3 linked regions of the Drosophila melanogaster genome follow. The protein of the gene in region 2 interacts with the protein of the main gene of each other region in a pairwise test. Each region holds a gene or a part of one and is shown on either strand. Other genes may lie near its edges.

Region 1 (4,094 bases), on a different chromosome or scaffold from region 2:
GACCTGGAAGATGCGGATGGGACTCCATGGTGACAGTTTTCTTCGCGTGATCCTGCGAGACATCCTCGTACATCTGTTCCACGGTCAGTGGCTTGCGCTGCTCATCATAGCCCACCACCCAGAGTCGCGGCGTCTGATAGTACTTATCATAGCTGATGTGCAGGTCGTACGTGCGTGTATGGAGCACAGAGTCACCGCTGGCCTCCGCGTCGCCCGATGCGGCTGCCACTGGGCTGGCCTTTGCTTCCGGCTCCGGCTTGCGTGTCGTGGTGGCTACAGCCGGATCGACCAGCTCCAGCATGCCGCTCTCCTCGAAATCGTCCATGTCAATAGCCTCGTCGTCGTCCTCGTCTTCAGCCTGGCCCCCAGCGCCCGGCGCAGATTTGTCGCTATCTGGAGTGTGCATTTCTTCCTGAAATGCAGTACTTGATTATGATAGTCGTGGTAAAGTTTCACCCGCACTCACCTTTGTCTCCTCCATTGTCAGTTCGCAGATCTTGTCCTCCAGCTGGGTGGTGCCATCATCGTTCAGTTGATGAGTCTCCACCCAACCGCCGTCACCGGACTCCTCCTCCACCAGCGTCTCCTCGCCGACGTATTCCATCTGCTTGCAGCGACGATAGCAGGGAACATTGCGCGTTATCAGGAATTGCTTATCTAAGTGGGGGCGAAATGATTTTAATGAGTCAATTGGCTAGTTATTAGTGGAAAATCGCAGCACATACCCTTTGGTAGGTAGGGTTTTGTCTTGGTCTCATCGCCAGCGGCCCACTGCCAAGTTGGACAATGGTGCACCAGGTGATCACCGGCGGCCACGAATTCTTCCGGAGTGAGAACACCTGTCTCACGGAATTTCGATTCCTGCAAAAAAAAAATAACGATATTTGTACAACAATTCAAAACCAACAAAGTGGAAAGTTGTATCTAGAATTCTTAATTGATAAATAATTAGTATATATGTATATTAGTTCCATATCTTTAATCTTAACGCTAAAATGTAAGTATTTCCCATAAACCGTTACATTATTGTAGGCCGTTTTCTTAAAAGGACACAAAAATAGGCCGAGAATTCTGGGACGCCCCTTATTTTACGTTTGGAGACAGTCTGGCGTTGGATCCAGTTTTATAGCCTCCCGGGGGCCGTTAACACAAGTCTTGGAAAATGGGGAACGGGAAAATGGAATCAATATTAGAGCGAGGAAACCCCTTATCTTTGCGGGTTTTCTTTGTCATGATGCATATGTACACCCTCGTTTCATATGTACGTATTGAAATACACATTTGATCAGTTTTCCGTTTATTTGGCACTTTTTACCTTCAAAACGGGCGTCAGATATTCGGCCACATTGAGCGCTGTGCCCTTGACGGTGTTGAGAACACTCTGCATTTCGTTGGCCGCTGAGTATTCGCACTAATCTAAACGCTTAAACTTAATAAATACAATTAAGATGGCTCTCTCAATTGACTTGCACTTCGCAGCTAATTGTTTTTGTCTTGCCAGTCGCGATACCAACAACAGTGCGGTGCGGTCATACTAGTCTATCGATGTGGGTGGGACTATCGATAAGTTGTTGCAGGAACAACGGCACTTTTTGCAATGGATTGCCCAAATATAAAAACAACCTGTAATTTACATTGTTAAATACGGACTAATCTAATAAATTTTGTTAAGAAAAAATGTCTAAAATAAGTTCTAAATTTATTAAAAACCCGAATTTTAGCGAAGGTATTTTAAAATAGCACTTATTCATACTTTTAAATGATTTTAATAAAAATAAATCTTACCTTAAGAAAGACATTCCTTTTAAAATGTAGTACGCATGTTGGTATATTCGATAGCTTCGGTCACACTATGTCCATTCGCGCACATTGTTTCTAACGTTTGTACGCGACGAAATGGAAGAAAAGGTTCTGCCGAAATTCGTATTACCGTCTCCAAAGTTCGGCAAGCCCAATGGATCCACCACATCCAATCACCTCTACCTGACCCCCAGCGGGATGACCCTGCTGCCGCGCTCCAAGCAACCGCCGCCCATGTACGGTGCACGAGGATCAACAGTGCCAGCTAAATATCTGCACCAAGAACAAGTGAGTGCACCAATAATAGTTCGAGCTTGTTCTTTAAACATTCCTTAATTCAAAACATAGAGCAGCCCAGTGAGCGTGCCTGCATCCCCGCCAGTTTACCATTCTCCTCCGCGACCGGAATTTTGTCACACATGTGTAATGGAGCTGGCCAACTCTCAGGATATGAAACTCCACCTGGAGCAACACGAGTTCTGCCCTGCCGATGACTGCGACTTTGCGGCGCTCCACAACATCCTGGAACGTCACATAGAATCCAATCACATCACAGGAACCTACGTAAAGGTAAAGAAAGTTTGGTCCGAGGAAGAATTGGCCGCTTGGAGGGCAGAACGAAGAAAAAAGTAAGTTAATTAGTAGAAATTTCTTTTGTTCTTTAAAATAAGCAGCTCAAATTGTAGATTTCCCACTGCGGCCAATGTTGAGCTGGCTAGATTAGCCAAGGAACAGCGAATTAAACGCGGAGAGCGCCTGGAGGCTTCGAAATCTCGCTTCGGAAACCGGGAAGATCGCCAACGGACGCGAGGAGGACCCCAGGGAGATCACAAAGTTCGTTTCGATCCGAAAAACAAGAAAAAGAGATGTGCCAAAGGGAAAGCCAATGAAAAGAAGAAAAAACGTGTTGGTACTGATAAAGCAAACGAAGCTTTGAAGCAGAAAGAAACTAATGAAGATAAAAAAGAAGAGGAAGTTAATTTGTGCTCCCTGGGAAATGCTAAATTTGGAGGAACTGGACAAATGCCGGAGTACCAGCACTTTAAGGCAAAAGTTCAAAAGAAGGATAATGCTTTGTCTAGCTTTCTTGGAATGTACGGGTCAGATAGTGACGAAGAAAGTGAAGCTGAGAGTGATGATCAGAATACAGCAGACTGCAGTAAACAAATCCCAGCACAAGTAGAGAGCTCCCAAAGTATGCCATCTGAAATCACAGAAATGGGTCCAGCCCTTGAGGCTTCAAATACACCTAACTCTGTTGATAATACTCAAACTTGTGAAGACTTTACACCTATGTTGGAAATGACATCATCAGACCAAGTGCCGCGAGAAATAAGCAACATTAGTCAAATAACTACATCTAACTCAGAGCCTGCCAAGGAAGATGGCTCCTCCGACGAAGGACCGGATGAAGAGCCCTTCCAGCGAGTGACCGAAACTATAACAGCGTCAGATCCAGTCAAACCACCTCCTGAACCAATGGAACCGAAGCCACAAACTGCACCCAAAAGAGCAGCTCCAAAGCGAATTTATGGCTTGAACTACAAGAGAGCGCGCAAGCAAACCCCGAACACTATGTTGTCGAAACTATTAGAATCCGATATACGCCATGAAAGAAATGTCCTGCTGCAGTGCGTGCGACATGTTTGCGAGAGAAATTTCTTTGGCATTGGTCAAGCTAAACCAAATCAAGAAACGTTGGTTACCACTTGTGATAAAACCGTTGATTCAACACCGGATGCATTATAACTTTAGCTTCTAAGTTAGGCAAATAAAGTACAAATAGTAGTATGCAAATGTATTTCTTAAAAAGAGTGTCACTTATGTTTCGATTAACGCAATTGGTTGACAAAATGTGCCTTTTCGGAATGCACTCTAAAAAATTTAAAACCCTTACCCTTAAAGATAGCGCAAGATTAGTTGGTTGACATTGAGGAGTCTCCGCCCATGGGATGATCTCCGCTGCCGGCATTTCCTCCTCCGGTTTGTTGTTGCTGCTGTTGTGCCGCCTGTTGCATCTGTTGTTGTTGCTGCTGCTGCTGTTGTTGTTGCTGCTGCTGTTGCTGGGCGGCGGCATGTTCCTGCTGACGCTTCAACTGCTGACGAGCTGCATGTGAGTGTTTGGCCTTAGTTTCCTCAAGTTCACGCACTCTGGACCTAGCGTGCTGAATGCGATGCCAAGCCATTTGGAGCACTTTGGCGGATGCATAGCCGGAACCCTCGTGTGGCTGACCCGTGGACACCTGGGTCAAGTAGTTGATCTGCTCGGACAGCTTCGATTCCACGCTGGACAG
Region 2 (4,462 bases):
CGCCATGGATCCCGGGACATTAGACCCATAGATGAGGTGGTAAACAAACTGAGGATGGAGCAGGAGCGTCGCCAGAAGTTGGCGTACGACTTTGCCAATCGGCGCTATCCTTGGACCATGCAAACTCCCAGTCACGAACTGGGCTTCACCATCACTGAGGAGCTGCAGAAGTGCTTCAAGGGACCCATGGAGCTGGACATCTTGAGGGCCATTCATGATCACGACTGCAAGCTAATGATTATCGATCTGGGCACTGATGTGGACATTAAGGACTGCCAGCGCTGGATAAAGTTTCGTCCATATATTCAGTTACTGGCATTGCCTCGAACACCTCGCATGGAACGATCGCTTCAGGTGCTCAATGTCTTCCACACGTATTTGGTGGAAGAATCGGCTGATAACTCATGGCACGATGAGGTGCAATACTCCCTTCGCACAGCTTTTGTGCACGCACAGAAAAATCAGCTCCTTAAGTCCTGCGGAGAGCCATTTGTCTTCGTATTTAGTCGTTTTCGTGGCATCTGCACCTGCGATACCTATAAGATAATCCGACGGGCATAGAACAAATTCTTTCAATTAATTTCCATCAGCAGTTATTAGCAAATGCCAACTGAAGTTGCTATAGACAAGTAATTATTTATTGCTTTTAAAAAAATTTCAAAATGTAAAAAAAATCTCAAGTTTACACAAGATTATATATATTACATGCAATAAATCGAATTTAAACATCATAACATCTGTTTTAGCCCAGTTTAATACTTATTCACGTCGCCTAATTTGATACGACTTGATTTGCTCCGCCCGGCCGTTCAAGCCATCATGTTGAAGTGGCGCCCGAACAGGAACCGCTTCAATTAGGCCGCCCAATTGGAGCTGCCTTCAAGTGCAGTCAGACGCACGCTACCTGCCACTTGCCACCCGATTATTGACGCAGGCGGAAGCCTGCACCACCATTTTCCGATGTGTTGTCAAAGTGCCTCCGCTAAGTTGGCAGACTTGAGCCCACGGCACAATTCACAACAAGTTTGTTTGCGAAAAAGAAACGAAATCGAAAAATTTCGCACCAAATCTCAACAAATTATTACAAAGCTTAACAAACTTGAAACTGATTATAAAAGTTGCCGGCAGGCAGTTGGGGCAAATTGGGGGACCGGCGGCCACAATGCAGCAAAATTGAGTTGCGGGTATCGTGAAGTTAGGAGCACTTCCCCTCATTCTCTACGGGCTTCCTTTTTGTTTTGTTGGAAAAAGTTTTTTTTGGCCAAATGCGTTGTCGCTATAAACGTCGACCCACAAACATAATTTTCAATAGAAATTCACATAAGCCACCTTGCCACGCCTGATAATAGCTTTGAGCAAAACTTACGCGATTTTTAAGAGGAGCCGCCACAGATCTTGAAAATGTAAAAAGTCAGTAGAAGTATAGAAAAATAAATTTAAAAAGTAATACTTTTCTTATCAGTTCGTAAATGTTTCTTATAGCATCAAAAACAAATTGCCCAAACAAATAAGATAAATTAAAGAGTACTTGTGCTTTAAAAGCCAATGCTAGCTGTTTAAATTTTAAATTGCTGTCAGGCGTAAACTAAGCCACAAAAAGTTGTGTTTTACAACAGTTCTCGATTGATACTGAACAGTTTTTTGCTATAAAAATTGAGCAAGATCAGAAAAAGAGAAGAAAATATTTCTTCAGTTAGCTACGAGCATATCATATATATACGAGTACATACAGTGGGTTTGTAAAACAAGTCACATGTTTACTTAGATGGGGATTTTTCTCTCAACAGTAGCTCCTCTGTTAAATAGTTCCGTGGAGAACCAGGTTCTTAAATAGCTGTTAGTTAGTTGAATGATTAAAAATAGTACTAAGCCGAAGACTTGATATGGCTGGGAATAACCAGTGATCACTCAATGGGGGTGCTCCGCAATCTGGCGAGAGATCAGCTGTTACATGGAGAGGGAGTGCATCGATAGTCGCTTGTGGATTCCGATTTCGATCCCAGTTCTCATTCAGTTCCATTCAGCATTGGTTGTTACCGTCGCAATGACAATCTTGTGGCTGACCTTGCTGGGCCTTTGTCTCAATCTGAAACTCGGGTCGGCGTTGCACGTGCCGCAGCATAATTGTGAGAGGTATTTCTCCTACTACAAAGAGGACAGTGGAGCCTACATTGGCGTCTTCACGGCGCCACGCGCTGGTGTGAACAGCCTATCATGGGAGGTGGTTTTCACTGCTCACGGAACTGGTGAGGTAAAGCCCTAACAAATTACATATATATTTGTTTATTTCAACTGATTCAACATTCTGATATCCCCCCATGCAGGCAAACACTGTGGGCTCACTCATTCCGTATCCCAATAAGGAAAGGGCCTTTGAAAAGATACACAGCGGAGAACGTGGCGAGGTGTTTGTGCGTTTCACGGATTTTGGAAACGAGCTGCCCAAACTTGTCCGGGCGGAATTCAACGGCGAGGTTCTGTGTCAAAATGAGGAGTGTGAGTAATAATAAAACTAGATAGAATATCTTTAGTTAAATTACTTTGAAATAATTATTGTTACCCTAAAGATATTCTATATAGTAGATGATCTCATATAGTTGATGATAATTTTCTCATATCTTTCTTTTTACTTTGTGCAGATGATGCCCCTTCAAGCACAATGACCCGACGCCAGTCCATGTCCACCTCAACGCCAATTAGTCAAAAGTCAGCACCAAGAGAAATAGTGCGTCAGCGGCGTCCGCCGCCGAGCACACCGAGCAATGACCCCAATCCTTTCCTTCCTTCAATCATGCCCAGAATAGATTCGGACTTTGAGGAATGCGGCGTTGAGGGCTTTTCGCCTCTTCAAATCGGAGGCGACCTGGTGACCCGCGGTCAGTACCCCTGGCTCGCGGCCCTTTACGAAGGTGTTGGCACGGCTACATACAAATGCGTGGTGTCGGTTATCTCCAAACGGACTGTGATCACGGCAGCTCACTGCATTTATGGAAAGAGCGCCAGCCAGCTTTGGGTCTATTTGGGCAGGCATGATCGCAACGAGAATCCTGAGAATGGAGCCTCCCTGGTTAGCGTGACCAGCGTGCTGACTCCGTCCGCCTACGAGGGCAATCCAGTTCCGGATGCGGACGTTGGTCTGCTGGTGCTGACCTCTCCGATGGTGTACACCAAGTACATTCGACCCCTCTGCCTTTGGGGCTCCAATATGGGATTGCCACCGAATGAGGGCGATACTGGAGCAGTAGCCGGTTGGGGCTACGACAGGAGTGCCCAGAAGACGCGGTTTCCCAAGACAGTGAGTGTTCGATTGGTGCCCCGGGATCAGTGTCTCAAGGAGATGAAGCGGGCGGAGGACTTCATCACGCGGCGGACCGTCTGTGCCGGCAATTCAGAATCACATGGTCCCTGCTTCGGAGACTCGGGATCTGCTCTGATCGTCCTGCGTAACAATCGATGGTACGTTCGTGGTGTGGTCTCTTTATCGCCTCGCCACGGAGAGATTTGCGACCTTAGCAAGTATGTTATCTATTGCGATGTTGCACGGCACATTGACTGGGTACGTCAAAATATGGTCATGTGAGGCGCTGAAATAATTATAATGTGACAATACAGGAAAACACGGAAATTTATGTACAAAATTCTCAATAAATCTTTAAGTCGTATAATAGATTACCTTTTCCTAGTCGGTGGATTTCCCAAGCATGCATTGGTGCCAACAATCTATTAAGTGTATACTTTGCGCTAAAATAAAACCCTTGCTTTAAGCCTATGACTTAAAGTGCAGATGTTTGCAATCATTGATTACAAATTTTCTAAAGAGAGGAATAGATTATTAGTGCTTTTGGAATTCGATTTAAACAAGTGAGAGCTCATCAGAGAGTAATAATAATAAGAACTATAAACAAATAAGGCTGTATGTCAGATCTCTTGTTAATAATACTTTTGACTCAAGAGCAAGAAAATCAGTTGTGAGCAACAGCAGGGTTTTGACTCACTAGCTTATCAGTAAAGATAAATGTAATTTTTAATTTCTTTAGTCGTATTAGCACCTTATCAATTAACACATTCGATCAGTGTTAGCCCATCCATGTTGAGAATAGTAATTCGATCTATGATCATAAGCTTAAAATTAAATTGATGATAATTTGTAAACTCTTTGTATTGAAGCTCTTGTTTTGTTTATACGAATTAGTCAAAGATTACTAGAGAGGGGATTTTCGCTCAAAACACAGAAGGCAGATGGCTTCTAGACATTTGATTACGAGGTACCAAGGGTATATCCACTTAAAAACAACGATTTTAAGCAATATTATAGACAATTGCTTGTAGGGGCTAATAAAGAAAGGTAAGCAAGAAAACCAAAAAAAGATTTACTTAACTTAATCTACCAGATTATACTATACTGGTTACTTTAGCCGAAGTAAAACTATGATTTAGTTGAGAGCAAAGTATCAAAGAGTCG
Region 3 (5,866 bases), on a different chromosome or scaffold from region 2:
CAAACTTTAGGGGTATCATATATCCCGAGCCCACACTGATGGCGGACGTGATTTTGGGAATCACAAACTTGGGAAGAGCTTGATCGGGCGATACACTCGAACTGACGCTGTTCGTTGCGGCGGCGGCGGTGGATGTGTTGTTAATGACTGGGCCAGAGGACCTCCTAACATTGGTGAAGGTGGGGCCAATGCTTGTGGCAGTGCTTGCACTGTTGGTCATGCTCGTGCTGCTGCCTTTTGAGGTGGACGGATAGACAATAGCCAATGGCATACGTACCGGCACCGGTGTTTTGGCCGGAGGCTCCCCCGCCACTGGTATGGCGCCGTTGGCTGTCCGCTTTAGTGCGGGACGGGCCGTGGAACGAGAGGTAACTGGCGTTAAGGCCAGACCCATGGAGCCCTCAAAGAACCACTTGTCCTGCAGCTGATAGCCGGATGAGCGCACGGCCTGCAATTCGTGGTAAAAGGCGCGCAGCACCAGCCAGGTGACCTCGCAGTGCTCGTGACTACACATCACTTCCATGCCGACCTTCTGCCAGAATTCGTCGTAGCGCGGCGGTTTCACCTTGTTGTGCAGGGAGTCCTCCGTCAGCTGAACTAGTTCTGGCATGTTGCGCATCGTGGTGATCAGCGCCATCACAGTGTGGAAATTCTCAATGGGCTCGTGCCAACCGTTTTGCAGGTACTTGGAAGACTTGCATACGGTGCCGCGCATGCGCTGTACGTGCGGTTCCATGAAGTCCATCAACCGACACAGCTCCGAAGTGCCGATATGACGTGGGCGATGGATTAACTCCCATTCGTAGCGAGTCTGCAGCTTTAGCCAGCACTTCATCAGCTTGGTGGCTTTGTCATGGACTTCGTTTGAAATGGCACTCCAGATTAGAAAGCGATGTCGTGTGTTCTGATAGCCCGTGCACGTGCTATCGTACAGAAGGGGATAGGCACTGACTGCCTCTATGAGGCGACGCTGTAACCTGTTGCAACGGTAGTTATAGGTGGGGTCCTCCTCGACATCCAAATCTATGATGTCCATTGGCGGATTCTCTATGACCTCCACATCGGGCCGGGTTTCGCTCTCATCCACATGCTCTTTTTCAAGAATCTCTGTCGGAATCTTGTCGACAATCAGTGGGAATCTGGCCACATGGGTATACATGAAGCGCATCTCTTCCTCGTATTCCATGCAAGGACGCCAACGCAGGGCCGCCCGATCTTTTTGGATGGCACTGCGATGAAAGTTTCTTAGACGACGAACATGGCGCTGATATTTATATCGCAGCGCCGACCAGGATCTCTTGCAGTTGGTCGCATTCGTTGCCAGGCGGCTGGCGATTTTTTTCCATTGTTTCTCCCTTTGAGCGACGTCGCGGAATTTCGGATGCCGGGCGTCATACAATAGCGGCTGGCGGCGTACCAAAGCGATGAGCAGCCTCTCTGCCCTATAGGTTTGCAGAATGCCGCCATCCCGAGATCCCGGATAAGTGCATCTGCTGAACGGATTTGGGGCCTTATCGTCATCCACGCCATTCGTCTTCTGACCAATTGTGTCAGCTTTGAGGAAAAAAAAAAACGGAAGTTAGTTGAACGGCTGACCAGGTGACCAACTGTCGGACTTACAAACAATTATCTGGCAATCATTTTCAATGGCAACAGGCTCCTCCTCCATGTCCTAGACACCTGATAGCTCCAATCTTGACCTACGCGCGCCTTTCCCCCACACAAGCCGTCGAGAATTCTCGGAACGGAGAAACCGGTGGGCAATCCGATGGAACCACTGCTTCACTCTTCACTCTTTTGTAGCATAAAATCACTCGGAAATAGTTTGGGAACAACTTGCAACTACAGGATTATTAAGTGCAAGCGTATCTACGTAAATATATCTACGTAAATAAGGTTTCTTGCGACGCCAGATAGTCGGCGGTTGCAAACGCAAAATGGTTAAAGAGCGTTATCGACCACGGATACCGTTATCGAAACATTCGATTAATATTTGAGTGTGAAATAGAATTGTATAGCTAAATATTTTTGTTTGTGTTAAGTTAAACAAAAATAAGTTGAAAAAACACGTTACAATTTGTAAAGCTACATTCTAGTAGCTACCCATTTGGATATCAGTGGAGTTATCGATAGCAGCCAAGCGCTGAGAGCAGAATATTTCGTTAAGTTCTCCCACTTGCGAGCACTCCAATTTCTTCGTTCTGGCAACGCTGCTTACCAGTCAGCTGTTTAGCCGGCAGGTTTTTCAACGAATGTTTTCATAACGCGTTTTCCATTCAAATTCAATTGAATTGAATTAATTTACAACCAAATATCGCTCTAAAACATGTGGGCAAGAACAAACTACCTCTGGCGAAGTGTGGGACGTCTGCGCCGCCAAGTATGCACGACGATCGTTTCACCAGCGCGAATATTTGCGGACCGAGAGAATCAGTTCGCCCATGGAATCCTGATGGATTCTCTCAAACCGTATGCAATACTGCGTCCTCGGGACTCCGCCTGGCAGGATTTGCCCGCATCTGAAGGCTTTATGCGGCCACAGCCAGATGCCAGTGCTGCCGATCTCTATGCGGACTTTTTAGGCCTGGTGAGGCACTGTAATCGCATGGAACTGAAGATCAGCGATAGCCGCTACGAAGCCTTTACCCGCTGCTTCTGTGAGCAGCTGCATCGCCTTACGGATGAACAACTTCTTGGATCGCTTAGTGCCTTGGCCGAGCTGCCCGTACCGGAATCGCCCAAAGCCAAGAACTACATGGAGATATGGAATACCCTGGACATCGAGTGCTGTCGCCGCATCGAGCGATGGTCCAGTGAACAATTGCTACTCGTGAGCGATGCCTGGTATCGTCTTGGTCTGGTCAGGATAGGCGAGTACGTGTGGCTGGCGCTGAAAAAGCTCGGCCGCAAGCTGCGAAAGCTGCCGCCAGAACAGCTCGTTCACTCCATGTTCCTGTGCAATCTACTGCGCCGACCCGTCTTCGAGATGTTCGATTTCGAGTTGAATCTGGCCCGCTGCGTGGATCAAATGACGCTGTCCGAATTGGGCGTAATGGCCATGGGCTTCTTTAAGACACAGACGCCTATCAGAAATCCGGAGCTGCTAACGCAACTCTATCAGCGATTAGGCAGCGAGCTGGACACCGTGGAAGACATTGTCCTGGTAGCGCTGCTCAAGGTGCTGCGGTACAGCAGCAAGCTGCCACAAGTGGAGCCGCTAAAGAAGATGTTAAGCGCTCTAGAGTCGCAAGTGGATCGCGTTTCCCTCCTCACGTGCCTGCACATGGCTCTTCTGGGCTGTGAACTGCAAACGTGCAATGATGCACTGGTGGAGCGCATACTGCTGAGATTCGAGCGTGAGTTAGAGACTGCCCGCCTCAAGGATATGGAGCGAATTTGTCTGGTAATGGCCCTTTTCAATATTACAACTAAGTCGGGAGTGGAACGCCGGTTGGCGGAGAGATTGCCCGATTTGCTGCGCCAGCGTATAGAGGAGATACTGCGCCATCCTCGTTGTTTCTCCAACTGCCTTCAGTTTCTCACAATGCGTGGTGTTTACGATCTTGAGCTTTTGGGCGTGGCACTGGAGCCGCGTTTCCTGAAGCATGCGTACCCAAGCGGATTGCCCGGGCGTGAGTACTTCCATTTGGATGGGTTCGCACGCCTCCTGGGGCCGGAATACCAGGGAGCACTGGTTACCGAGAAGCAACGACAGCAGATGGGCCGCAATTACACGCAGTACATCCCCGATCGGGACGGACGCTTCAAGCTGAATAATACCGATCGTATTCTAGTGGAAATACGGGATGCGATCACCATGATCCACCGTCCCGTGACCTTCAAGCACATCCTGCCGCAATACGATCGATGCGATGTAGTGTTGTGCTACGACCGCCGGCAACGGAAGGCGTTGTCCATAAATGGTGAGGCCTGTCAGGATTACAGCGGTGAGATTCTCACCCGGAAGCACTTACTGGGTGAGAGAAAGGCTGCGGATGACCAGCTGGTCACAGTGGTTATCGTTATTGCCGGCTGGAACAACGTAATCCGCGATAAGGATCGTTTCACCGGCCAAATGGATATGAAGCTAAGGCAGCTGCGGCAATTGGGACATCAGCCACTGGTGGTAAGTTTTGCTTTATCCTATGTAAGCTATATTAAAATGAAAACTTTCTCATCCTTCGAACAGTATGGTCAAGCATATGAAATTCTCTATCTCTTTCTATTTTAATTGAATTTACATCCTTTTTATTCACAAGCTCTCTCTCTCTCTTTCTCTTTTTATACGAAACGCACCTATTTAAATGTACCAATTGTGTATTTCTTCTTAGACTGCGGGTTGTATTATTATAATTATTTAATTGTCTAATCTTTTCCTGCTTTTTTCCACAGATCTATTGGCACGAGTGGCGGGAACTGGAGAACTCAGCTGACCGCCAGGACTTTCTGAAACGCCGCCTTAGCCAAATTGCAAAAATTTAGCAGGAAATAAAAACGGCAATAGAATTGATATTAGTCAGTCATTAGCATTATCTGAACATTGTACAGGCACAACACTACGATCTATTAATTATCTAGAAAAAAAAGCAATAATTATCGAATATTTAATAATGACCGCCCGCGGCCGACAACTACTAGCACAGCGTCTTGCTCCCGGATCCCCGCAATCGGACCGCAGCGGACCGTTCGTCGCGATCCATTGTATGGTTGATGCCGTCGTCAGAGGGTGGCGCTCAACGCTCGCTTGGTGTACTCGTAGACCACGAACAGGGTGGCCGTGGCTGGAATGGTGCGCAGGACAGATGGCAGCAGGCCGCGATAGAGTGCCAGGACACCTTCGCGACGGACTATGTCCGCTCCCACGGCGAACATGCTTTCGTTGAGGTTCTTCACCTGTATGCGACTCTTAATTACGTCTGCAGGAAACGTCGACGTCCAGAGGCAGACGCCTCCAATGGCGCCGGCGATCATCGTACGCAGTGGTCCAATATCATCTTTGGATTGATCATCCCTGCAAAGGAAAATAAGAATTATGCCAATGTAAATAACTATTTAACTTTGTCCAACATCTTTCATTTGAATAGACTAACGAAGATCGAGTTATCTGTCCAGCTAAGGATTTTGTTAAGATATTGTTGAACAAATTCTGTAAATGACTAAATATAACTATACTGCTAATTAGTATGATAACTGAAGAAGAACGATTGTTGTTCACTCGTAAACATTAAACTCATTAATCTCCTTCTATGGAATTTGTTTGTACTCACCTGCGGAGTAATTCACGGGTTCCCTCGTAGCTGCCGAAGAAAAAGAAATATCCGGGCATCTCGCGCAGGAAAGTCGAGCTCAATCCGCGATAGAAGCCTCTGATGCCTGCGGAGAAGAGATTAATCAACGGATTAGACCAATGGTAGCTAAGAAAATAGCGAAGATGGACACGTGAGGATGGGGCTATCAATTAAATTCGCATTGGAACATCAATCAAAGGCGAAACGGAAACGTGCTCATGATCTGCCGACTTGAGGCTGTCAATTGTGGGGCATCATTACATCGGTAAATTTCCACTTGACTGATAGTGGCCCAACCATGTGCATTGGCCGTAGCTGCACGTTCCGCTCCCTGTTTCCCGATGCTTTCCAGCTTGTAGTACTTGTAGTAGTACACCACCAGTATACCCTAGATGTGTACAGATCTATCTCGCACTACGTCACTGCTGTGCGTGGCATGTTTCGAGCTGCGGCTCTATGTGGCTATGAATAGTCTTATCAGTTTCCATAGAAATCCCTAATTCGCTTTTCGCAATCTGCGTAGTAAATACTCAATATTTATGTTTTGGAAAATAACGAGAGGAATGCCAGCCTTCCTC

Evidence for each region.
Region 1: the proteins of CG9631 (region 2) and Nufip interact in a two-hybrid assay, tested with the Drosophila melanogaster proteins (one large-scale study listed by BioGRID).
Region 3: the proteins of CG9631 (region 2) and CG2124 interact in a two-hybrid assay, tested with the Drosophila melanogaster proteins (one large-scale study listed by BioGRID).

What each region holds. Positions count from the first base shown.
Region 1 is NT_037436.4:18,746,111-18,750,204, reverse strand, and holds Nufip (nufip), read left to right. Parts: upstream 1-1,837; 5' UTR 1,838-1,896; coding exon 1,897-2,088; intron 2,089-2,148; coding exon 2,149-2,429; intron 2,430-2,486; coding exon 2,487-3,549; 3' UTR 3,550-3,594; downstream 3,595-4,094. Other genes in the region: Atg3 (Autophagy-related 3), read right to left, coding at 1-412, 467-657, 726-861, 1,316-1,387; MED11 (mediator complex subunit 11), read right to left, coding at 3,717-4,094.
Region 2 is NT_033777.3:14,224,299-14,228,760, reverse strand, and holds CG9631 (uncharacterized protein), read left to right. Parts: upstream 1-1,998; 5' UTR 1,999-2,044; coding exon 2,045-2,251; intron 2,252-2,324; coding exon 2,325-2,496; intron 2,497-2,639; coding exon 2,640-3,580; 3' UTR 3,581-3,663; downstream 3,664-4,462. Other genes in the region: CG9624 (uncharacterized protein), read left to right, coding at 1-561.
Region 3 is NC_004354.4:10,593,924-10,599,789, forward strand, and holds CG2124 (uncharacterized protein), read left to right. Parts: upstream 1-2,198; 5' UTR 2,199-2,326; coding exon 2,327-4,126; intron 4,127-4,222; exon of another isoform or gene 4,223-4,392; coding exon 4,393-4,482; 3' UTR 4,483-4,719; coding exon of another isoform or gene 4,720-5,011; 3' UTR 5,012-5,246; downstream 5,247-5,866. Other genes in the region: Hmr (hybrid male rescue), read right to left, coding at 1-1,554, 1,621-1,669; CG1628 (uncharacterized protein), read right to left, coding at 4,720-5,011, 5,268-5,373.